Daphnia pulex: one gene and its partners. The protein of the gene in region 1 binds, or shares a complex with, the protein of each later gene. Links are inferred from orthologs where the notes say so. Each region holds a gene or a part of one and is shown on either strand. Other genes may lie near its edges. The genes, in order: GATOR complex protein Iml1-like, nucleoporin SEH1-like and protein SEC13 homolog.

Evidence for each region.
Region 2: GATOR complex protein Iml1-like (region 1) and nucleoporin SEH1-like share a complex: the UniProt entries of both Drosophila melanogaster proteins name them as parts of the GATOR complex. The link is inferred for Daphnia pulex from reciprocal best matches to the Drosophila melanogaster genes Iml1 and Nup44A.
Region 3: GATOR complex protein Iml1-like (region 1) and protein SEC13 homolog share a complex: the UniProt entries of both Drosophila melanogaster proteins name them as parts of the GATOR complex. The link is inferred for Daphnia pulex from reciprocal best matches to the Drosophila melanogaster genes Iml1 and Sec13.

The regions. Positions count from the first base shown.
Region 1 is NC_060021.1:10,273,706-10,277,460, forward strand, and holds the start of GATOR complex protein Iml1-like, read left to right. Parts: upstream 1-911; 5' UTR 912-1,033; coding exon 1,034-1,076; intron 1,077-1,149; coding exon 1,150-1,287; intron 1,288-1,377; coding exon 1,378-1,610; intron 1,611-1,678; coding exon 1,679-1,903; intron 1,904-1,965; coding exon 1,966-2,220; intron 2,221-2,284; coding exon 2,285-2,480; intron 2,481-2,564; coding exon 2,565-2,798; intron 2,799-2,873; coding exon 2,874-2,995; intron 2,996-3,057; coding exon 3,058-3,199; intron 3,200-3,269; coding exon 3,270-3,677; intron 3,678-3,733; coding exon 3,734-3,755. Other genes in the region: uncharacterized protein LOC124194533, read left to right, coding at 1-65, 203-594. UniProt on the Drosophila melanogaster protein: An essential component of the GATOR subcomplex GATOR1 which functions as an inhibitor of the amino acid-sensing branch of the TORC1 signaling pathway.
Region 2 is NC_060020.1:7,749,589-7,753,254, reverse strand, and holds nucleoporin SEH1-like, read right to left. Parts: upstream 2,391-3,666; 5' UTR 2,216-2,390; coding exon 2,105-2,215; intron 2,042-2,104; coding exon 1,885-2,041; intron 1,827-1,884; coding exon 1,675-1,826; intron 1,600-1,674; coding exon 1,253-1,599; intron 1,191-1,252; coding exon 1,030-1,190; intron 957-1,029; coding exon 793-956; 3' UTR 649-792; downstream 1-648. Other genes in the region: meckelin-like, read left to right, coding at 2,504-2,816, 2,896-3,161, 3,217-3,408, 3,470-3,666. UniProt on the Drosophila melanogaster protein: Probable component of the nuclear pore complex (NPC). Involved in maintaining the localization of another nucleoporin Mgtor to the nuclear envelope of early meiotic female germline cells.
Region 3 is NC_060026.1:1,756,567-1,759,792, forward strand, and holds protein SEC13 homolog, read right to left. Parts: upstream 2,184-3,226; 5' UTR 2,032-2,183; coding exon 2,029-2,031; intron 1,959-2,028; coding exon 1,914-1,958; intron 1,839-1,913; coding exon 1,710-1,838; intron 1,634-1,709; coding exon 1,361-1,633; intron 1,298-1,360; coding exon 1,164-1,297; intron 1,096-1,163; coding exon 744-1,095; 3' UTR 656-743; downstream 1-655. Other genes in the region: tRNA (cytosine(38)-C(5))-methyltransferase-like, read left to right, coding at 1-6, 77-399, 480-633; uncharacterized protein LOC124206188, read right to left, coding at 2,699-3,226. UniProt on the Drosophila melanogaster protein: Functions as a component of the nuclear pore complex (NPC) and the COPII coat. At the endoplasmic reticulum, SEC13 is involved in the biogenesis of COPII-coated vesicles.

The DNA of each region.
Region 1 (3,755 bases):
GCTTCCAATAGAGGTTGAAAGTACGAATCATAACGGATCCGTTCTCAAACAGTTGCTACTAACAAGTAATTATTTAAAACTTTTGCCTTTATTTTGTGTTGATTTTAGTAATATTATGATATTAATTTAAAAAATTTTCCCGTTCTCCATGATTCGCCCATGAATTTTTTGAAATTATTAATATTTTTAATTATTTGATAAGGCAATGAAGACGTCATCAGATCATCCAAAAAAACTGTATCGAAGCAAAGTTCAATAATGAGCCGAACACCCTCATCGGTACAACAATCATCACCCGTTCAGCTAACGAACAAACGCAAACAAACAACAGAACCTCGTCGGCTTGCCGAATCCAACGTCCACGTTGCACGCCCGACAACCCCGAAGTGCGTGCGAGATTCAGATTACTGGAGCCCTCCTGTCCTCACACCTCCACCTGATGGAAGAGCCTATTCACCTCCGTCAACTCCAGTGGCACACATTGAACCTTATGTTGAGCCTCAAGTGATGTACAATCCTTACTTCTTATGGCAACTTTATTCCTATAAGCAATCTTGCAGTAACAGTTTCAAATCATTCTCTCACAATTATTGATTCAGGATAGTTGTTGTCATGGCTAACGATTTATTTGTTAACAGGCGTGTTTAAAGAACAAGTAACTTATTGCTGGTAAATTATGTTGCTGTAATAATATTTGATTGAATTTACAATTTAACCATACACACATAGATTTAGCCGTCAGTTGTTGTGTTTTATTTTCTAACATTATTTACCATATTTTCTACAGCTTCTTTTTTAGTTCAGAGTTAATTCTTAATTCATATTCCTGAAAATTACCGCTTTCAAATTTCGTTTTTGACGTAGCTACAATTTTTGTCGCTAGATGACCTTAACGATTGTTGATCAACAGATCAGCAGACGGCTGAACAGGGCAATCACGGCAACATCAGCTGCATATATTTGCGCTGCAGTAGTCTAGTCTTTCATCTCGTGACGATAGAAGAGGCTCGAATATCCTGTCAAGAGCTTCAAAATGAAAACTTTTAAACTGATTGCTCATCAGAAACATTTTAGTGGTGAGATATTTGTATGTCTTTATTCTGCGAATGATGATGCTTAGCCTACTTATATTCTCGTGATGTTTTGTAGAGGAAGAAATAATTTTGAGCTCAAAAGATTTCCCACACGTGAAAGTGAGAGATGTAGTAGAAATATACCACCCTGATGTTGTTGGCTCCAGAGTTCTACTTCAAGTACATTCTTTAAAAGAAGAAATGCAAACAAAAGGTAGGCCTATTATGTTTGTGATTTTTAATGAATACTATGTTTGAATGCTACTGGTTCATCTCTTAATTATAAAAATGTGTTAACATTTAGACACAATCAGCATTGAACAGTCAATAGTAAGTATGTTCCAACTTCAAATATTTTTTGGAGTCCATGTGACTGTGATGGATCCAGCCTCAGCTGCTCTAGATTCTGTAGAGTTAACCTTCAAGGATCAGTATCTAGGACGTAGTGACATGTGGAGGTTGAAAAATTGCCTTATTGGCTCTTGTTTGTACATTGGGAAGAAATTGGAGTTTTGCAACAAGTCAGTTCGATGTCAGGTGAGGAAGTGTAATCAGTAATGAGTATTAAATTTGTTTATTTGTAAATTGTTTGTTTTTCAAATAAGGTTCATGAAATGTGGGGACAAGGAGAAAGAGTGGCATGTGGTGTGATTACAGAGGATACAAAAATTGTATTTCGTTCATCAACAAGTCAGGTGTATCTCTTCTTACAAATGAGCTCAGAAATGTGGGATTTTGACATATACGGTGATCTGTATTTTGAAAAAGCTGTTAACGGCTTCTTATCGGAATTATTCGCCAAGTGGAAACGCCATGGATCTAATCATGAGGTGGCATCGGTTATGATAAATCTTTAGCATTAAATTCATTAAACCTCTAATCTCATTTCCAGGTCACAATTGTTTTATTTTCTCGAATATTTTACGAGACAGAATCTTTGGAATACTTCCCAGAAACTGTGCGAGCGTGCTTGCAGCAAGATTACCGTGGTATGTTCTATGAAGACTTTTACCGTGTAGCTGTTCAAAGCGAACGAATGGAAGACTGGGCGTGTGTGCTGCCGCAACTCAAATTACTCTTTCATAACTGGCAGAACTCTGTGTTGGGTTACCATCAACAAAACCACCCTGACATGAACATACCTAAAGTATTTTTCTTCATTATTTGTGAATCATGACAAGAGTTCTAACATTTTCCTTGTTTGTAAATAGGGTGTTAATTCATGTGCAGCCCAAGGAAACTTTCTCGAGGTGCTTAACATGTCTCTAAATGTTTTTGAGAAGCACTACTTGGATAGAAGCTTTGACCGCACTGGCCAGCTTTCCGTAGTCATCACACCTGGAGTTGGCGTCTTTGAAGTAGATCGAGAGTTGACAAACATTACGAAGCAAAGGATCATAGACAACGGTAAAAAATTTCAACTGTTTTTATTTTTTTTACTAAATACTTTCTTATCGAGCATGGTTTCAATTAAATATGTGTTACAAACAGGTGTGGGGAGTGATCTGGTTTGTGTTGGTGAACAGCCTTTACATGCAGTTCCCTTATTGCAATTTCACAATAAAAGACATAGCGCTGCCTCAAATGACTTTAGTATGCCTCATTGGATCAATCTCAGCTTCTATTCTTCCAGCAAGCGGATTGGTTATTCTACATTTCTTCCCCGCATTAAGATGGCTCCCATTTTAAATAAAGAGACAACTCTTCACAAGAGCAAAACTGCAGGTACAGTAATTCAAACACTATTATTGAATAAGAGTCGAAATTTTACTTTAATAAAACTTTATCGTTTGTATTTAGGATTACTCTCGTCTAAAACTAGCAGTTCCATTAAAGTTGAAAGTAGTTTACCGAACTCTGTCTTTGACTATGATGCCTATGACGCAAAAGTGTTTGCGCTTCCAGTAACCCGCACTAGCAAGGTATTTGAATACGTTATGTCTCTTGGGAAAATAATCGGATACAAATGTTCTGTTATGTGCAGGTTCAAACTTTGATGCGAGAAACTCGTCATCGCAAAACCACCGCTATATCCTCAGAGGTGAATCGGTTTGATCGGAGCCGAGGAAACGCTAGAAGATCTCGTCTTCATGATATGGACATTTCTTTTACCACGGGTCACCCTGGTATATGAAATTTTTCTAATTTCCATGTTAAATTCTGTAAAAACATAGGTGCAAATTTTTTATTTAATAGGTGATGGACTCAGCAGCTCATTGATCAGTGCGCCCACTATGCTCAGCTGTTCACTCACAAAATCACCCTCAGTTACCATTCCAAAAAGACCAGCTGTCGACGACAGTTTTATTGCGTCATGTGGTGCAACTGCACCTCATCCACGTGTTCGAAGACCTAGTGGGGGTGAGGAGCGATTAGAAGATCGCAGGTCCAACACTCTTAGAGCTGTAGTAGGCAGCGCTGGATCACCAAGCGCTCTCGGAAGCAACACAGTGACGATAGGCGCCAACCCGTCTACTGTTACTTTCGATCCCAGTACACGTCAAATCAAAACTGGACGTGCTTTAATTAATCCATTCGATCCGAGCAGAGTAACAATTAAGTTAACATCCAATCGAAGAAGATGGACACACATTTTCCCTAAAGGTATATTTGTGTTGCTTTGAATTAAATGAATGCTTGATTGTAACAAATTTGCATAGGTCCAACGGGGGTGTTGATTCA
Region 2 (3,666 bases), on another chromosome or scaffold:
ACTAATTAAGCCATCTAGATAATTACAACACTTAAACAGCGTATTTCTATTTGTATTAACCTGCTAACTTCAAATCTAAAAAAAAAAACTGTAAAGAGAATGAAGTTCACTTGCTAGAATTATACAAATTTACCGGAAGGAACTGATAGCTCAATTTCCCATGTTTAAAAATGATTTTTTTAAAACTAAAATCGTAAATTTTTGTGATGGCTATCACTAGTTTAGGGAAAATCACGAATAGGATGATTTTCCTATATTTCCTACAGACACATGCAATCGACCCAAAATTTGACGAAGATCACAAATCCTTAGTTCTTTTCTTATTTGCGTCAAAATAATACTTACTGATAATATTTACGGAACTACTGACTTTTAAACTGGAGGTAGACAAAAACAAACGTTTGCAAAAATCTAACAGGTGAGTTTTGTAATATTCAGTTTTTGTCAAAAATCACAAAAATGACCTTACAGTTTATTGTTGTAAATGTCCTTAGAGATGTGTAAATGTATGCAGTAATGCAGCTGAAAATGATCAAATCATTTGAATCATTTCCCTCCTAACAAAAAAACAAATAGCTACTCTACTAGAGAAAAGTGTTTTTATAACAACTTGACCCTAAACGAATGTGACATGAAAAAATGACATAGTTTAAAACTCCATATCATTTCATTTATTTCTTCAGAACAACTTTCCATTTTCGAGACCATGGGTTTCTCCAGAAATGAAAACTCCCAGTTATTTGTGTGGATTGGAAGAGACATATTATTATCATAAAAATTGGGAAGTAAATGTTAGTGCCAGGGTACTTGATTTGGATTGCTGATTGCGCCAAGTTTAAAGTAACGAGCAGTTGCTGCAGAAACGGTTTTATCACGATCAGTTCCGTCTTCTGGACTTACACCCGATCCATCACCTTTCAACACGGCAATGCATTTCCAATTCTGCAAATAGTTGGCTGTGGAAATAGACAGTAAAAACAGCTGATTTAATAGGCCAGACATGGCATTAAATATTTCTTGATTTCTTGCCTTTCCACATTCTTAAACAGCCGTCATCTCCTGAAGAAGCTAGAATAGTTCCAGTAATGTTCCAAGAGATTCTCCAAACAGTAGAATGATGGTCATCAAATTGGGCTGCCTGCAGTATCTCCAACTGGGAAGTTGGACAAGCTGCTGCATAAGCATCTTTCCTTTAATAAAAAAAATTATAAATTTATTCTTATTCCATCCTTAAAATATTTTAACTACTTACTGAGGTGGTTTAAGAATAACTATTCTAACATCTTTGCTTGCAATTCCTAGAATGTGGTAACTTCTTCCCAAGTTAGGTGCAAATGCTATGTCATGCACTGGGTCGACTATTGTGTTGATAGTTTCAGCTTTAGACCAGCGATGGGAGCTTTCACTGTACTCAAACAGAAACACTTTTCCACCAGAGGCGACATTCGTGTCATCACTACCAACTGCCAACATTGGAGGATGGAGACGAGAAAATGACGGATTCCATGATAGACAAGACACAGGCATTTTCAGTGTTATTTCTTGCTGCAAACTCCATTGACTTAGGTTCATAATGTCTGGGGCTTCATATATTCTAACCTATTATGTTATAAAATTGACATTTTCATCTGGTTTATATATTTAACAATGTAATAAATATATCTTAGAACTTACTCCTCCATCAGCTGAACACATAGCTAACAATAGTCCCATGTGTTTTGGAGCAAATTTGATGTCAGTCACATTGGTTCTTGAATCTACCAAACTTGTCCTTTTCACCCAATGACTTTGGTTTTTACTCTGCGTTGAATTCCCTGATTCACCAACTGGATATGCATTTAGTAACTAATTTAAGTTGTTAAAATTGTAAAGAATTTTACAAACCAATTTCTTCCCAAATTGCAGCTGTTCTGTCAAATGAGCAAGTGGCTAAAATTTGACCAAATTCAGGATGAGCCCAATTTACTTTCCAAACAGAACCAGCATGAGTCTTCCAATCAGCAGTCAATCTCCATTCATCATTTTCATCCAGGTCAAAAACCTTGAAAGATAATTCCGCAATTTAGTTAACACAAGAAATTTTTTTCGATTTCTAACAATTTACTTTAACACTCTGGTCGGAGGAACAAGTAGCCAATCGACGCCCATAAAAATCATAAGCTACATCATGAATCAGGTCTTTGTGTTCAGCATTTATCGTTCTTGCTTGAAACATGTTTACAGAACTTTTTAAATCACTTCTTAATCACGAGAAACAAGTTTTTGCTTGCAAATTTCACAGAATTAAGAAAGCAAGAACGCAAGCAGCCGACAGCTCGACTGATCAAACTTCAAATGTATGGCACTATGGCAGTATGGGACAGTTGTGGGCGTTGCCAGATTGATTCATGAAAGAAACGATGTTTTTTCTGATATTGTTGGTTGGCTGACTTGGCTCATTGCTGGGGAGTGGTTGCTAGGTAACAAATATGCTTTACAAAACAAACAAAAATTTAAAGTGACGATGATCGTGTTAGTTGCTCATTACCTGCTTTTTTTCATCTTAAAGAAGGTGGAGGCTTACGATGTCATATTGTCTTCGTTTCCTGAAAGCTGCAATCGTTCCTCCTACTTTGATTCGATATCACATAAGTGCAAAGGTTGCGGGGTCTTTCAAATATCTTCCGATGACCGTTTGAGTTGTGAGTGTGGCTTTGGCTACTACCCTGAATTTAATGAAAAGTCCAAAGCAATTGAATGCTTACGCTGTAACCAATCAATTCAGTCAGAAATGTGTCTAAAAAGCAATCTCACGTGTGAACCGTACGACATCAAAGGTATGAAAAACGCACATTTACCTAGGTCCTATCTGCTAAGTATAGTAAAGAAGAATTAATTTCTGAATTTTTATCACAGTCCTTCAAATTACTGGAAATATTACCTCCGCACGATGTCTGAAATGCCCGCTTTGGCATCAGCCTGATGACACAAAATCTTCGTGCGTTCCTTGTTCGAACATGTGTCATTGTCCTAGTGAATACGAAGATGTGAACGGAACTTGCGTCAAAGATTTATTCACGATTCCCGAAACACCCACTATCTTTACATATAACTTACACGGGAGACCTTACATTTCTAATTATTTGCGGAATTGGGTTAGATTGACGGCAATTAAATGCAAGGTAGGAATTATTTACCATGTTTGTGCTATTAAACACCAATTTTTTTTCTTTAAAGGCACACGGTGGAGGAAAATACTGCGAACATCTGATCAATCTCTGTGTCTTAACGGATTACAACTACGATTCTCAGTCAGCTTGCTCTCTTTATCGACAATTATCTGGAGGCTTTAGCAATTCAATATACTACGACGATAGTCAAAACGAATATCTACTAAACTCCGCCAGGATAAACATACTGAAAGATCAAGTAGCATCTATAACTTTTACGGACTAAACAGGAAAAGTTTTTCATTAATGACTTTTTTTAGAAAATGGATTTTATGGTTAAACAATACGCATTAGATGGTACATATTTATTGATCCAGCCTCTTCAATCGGTTTTTAAATCATTGTGCTGCACTGGAACTTGGAAACCAATCCAACGAAATGCCAATATTTATCACAGCTGTTCGGTTTATTCGAAAGTTTTCAACATGGCTGATATGCGCTTTTATGAAATTTATTT
Region 3 (3,226 bases), on another chromosome or scaffold:
GACATTGTAAGCACCATTCAAATTCAATTTTTATTAATGATTTATTCATCATCTTATTTGATTATTTTTTTGACAGATGACCTCCTTTCCTAACAGTAGCTGTGACATTGAAATGCCGGTGCAAGAAAAAACGTTAGACCCCTATCTGGAGAAAGATATGTCTGATGAAGAATTGGCACGTTATTTGCTTACTGATAAAACATTATTAAAGTATTGGCGTATTCTCGATGTACGACGAACATCCGACACATCTTCCTGTTGTTTCACCAAAGCGTATACCCACTATGCAGAAGGAACTGGTTCTGTACTTCAACACGACCCGAACGAGCCATTTCACCAAAAATTCGCTGAATTTAAAGAAGATGAAGATATTGCTCATTTGAAACCTTTAAAATTAAGGTAAGATTGAAAACCTAATAACTGAAATTGCCTCATAACTAACCCAACGTATTATTTGTTGTAACATTTTCTGTTCTTAGATATTTCACACCGCGAGAAGTCGGAAATTTAATGGGCTTCCCTGCTGAATTTACCTTTCCTGAAAACACTTCACTTAAAACTCGGTATCGACTCTTAGGGAACAGTTTGAACGTGTTGGTAGTTTCTAATCTTTTAAGAATATTATTGGGTTGAAATAAATAATTAAACGTTTAAATGTTTCTTTGCGGTAATTTATATAGTAAACCAAATCAAGGGAAACATGGCTAGCGTTAGAGTGGAGATTAACAAACAGACGGGTATTTTCACTGTTGGCCAGGCGTCGATCCCTTGCCTCGATTCACGTCACTGATGCATACCCATTGGCCTTCCACTGTTTCCTTCCAGAGACTAACTTTGTTGTCCCCACCAGAGACCGCCAAGATGTTTCCGGTCACGGACCATGAGACGTGCCAAACAACATCTTCGAAGGTGTGAAGAACTCGTTGGTTCCAACTGCTGGAAACACCGTCGTTGGTCCATAGAATCACTCGACGATCTTGAGAACAGCTGGCGATGACCGTACGCGAAAGCCCAATGGACGGAGCCCAAGCTGCATCACGAACCCAATCCGAATGGCCTTCTAGTTTAGCTTCCTCAACCCATTCTTTATCTTCCCTGCAAATTCGAAAAAAGGCCTCGATTGATAAAGGAGATTTACTTTTTAAATGAATTATGTAACTTACCGCCAGACTTTGACTAGGTTATCACAACCCCCACTAACAAAACGCTTGACAGGAGCAGATCGTGAACCGGTAGTTGAGTCAAAGGCCGCGTTAGGTCCAATAGCTGGAGCCCAACTAACTGCATTGCACCCAATCTACAATAGCATCACATGCATTAGGAAATATTTAAGACTTAATAAAGATGGTGAAATGTATACTGTATGGGCATTGTTGATCTTCTTGGCCTCCCAACCTCCTGCAGCTGTAGCAGAGAGAATGGAGATGGATCCATCAGAACTTCCACAAGCGAGGATAAGGCCATAGTCATGAGGGGCCCAGCAAACAGAGTTCACAGATGAATCATGGTTAGCATATTCATAAAACTTGACCCATTGTCCATTCATCTCTTTCCAGATAATAACTTTGTGATCATAAGAACATGATGCTAAAATATTCCCAAACTTGGGATGAGCCCAAGCAATTTGCCAAACCTGATAAATGTATGAAATTGTCAGTATAACCACCATTTGTTGTATGATATTAACAGATCATTCAAAATTAACATACCGGTCCTTCGTGTCCTCTCAAATCGGCAGCCAATGTTTGTGTTCCATTTTTCACATCGTAAATCCTCACAGACCTGTCAGATGAGCAGGTTGCAAGCCGACAGCCATAATAGTCCATTTGCGCATCATGCTAATAAATCCCCAAAAAAACGTTAATATCATGTAAGAAATTACAAAATCAACATCAGAATGATTAGATACTCACGATCATGTCTTCATGTCCAGTATCGACTGTGGAAATGACTGACACCTAAGAGGGAATAATTTAATGATAATTTTACAAGTGCCTTTAAAAATGCATCCAAATTATGACAAAGTACCATTTTTACTGAGAACTTGTAGATAAGACAGCGAGTTATAAAATATTCCTGCGTAAAAAAAATACCGACAAACTCACACAAACGAATCTGTCAATTTTCAGTCGACGTGTCCCCAGCGCGTTGCCAAACATCAACAATTCAACCAATTTTAGTGAAAACGTTTTGGCGCCACGCCACCTCCATTTAAATTTTCATTCAAAAAAAGGGTTAGATCAATAAGATGACGTACAAATAAATACAAGGAACAAATATGATTTATTAAGAATTTCAGAACGGAAGAAGTACAAGGGTGACGTGCAACAGGACAAGTACAAAAATAATTAACGCAGTCACAGTGGAAAAAACGTGAAAAAAGGAAACGTAGTCACGAAAGTAATGAAACCAAAATAAATATTTCTTGCACAGAAAATGAAACAACCGCAGCCTAATATAAAAATTTTTGTTGGGAAATAGTTTGTGAAGACCGAAAGGAATTAAACATCTTTACTATAATATTGTAACAATTAAGATGCAAAAAGAAGGCTGGGTGTGTTAACACTGTTGAAAAGAAAAGCTGAATATTTGTTGACCGAGTTCATAAAATAATTGTTCTCTCTCTCTCTCTATAGAATTAAGACTTTCCGTCGTCGTAAGAAGAATTTTGAAATTGTTTTGGAGAAAATGAACTGGTTCATTTGTGTGATGGAGTCGCAAGGAATGCAAAAGGTGTCGAAAAATCGTTCTCATCTGCTTTCGCTGAAGTTTCCGGTGACGAAGGCGGAGTCAATATCTTGCGGTGCTTTTCGAAAAGATCCACCCCATTTAAAGTAAAGAGACGAATGTGAAGGGCTCCGTCGACGACCTTGATGAATTTAACGGCGAAGAAAGCACGTTTAACGAAGCGATCAAGAAAAGCATCGGCGGCGACTTTGGAGAAAGATTCCGCTCCATCCAGGCAACACTTGAATGCCAACGCCGGTTGCTTGGCGTAATCCGAGGGTAAATCTCTCAACAAACTGGTCTGCACCTCACAAGTGTGACCGTAATCAAAATAGTAGACTCTGGCGGTGTCTCCATTGACGCTTTCAACCACGGCGCGATACCATTGTCCGTCATCAGGGAAGAAATCATCTGGCTCACGGTAAAAAGCCAGGCACGGCTTACCGACGGAAGCAACAAAGTTCTTCTTGTTGATAAATTCCGGATGGCGGCCCAACAC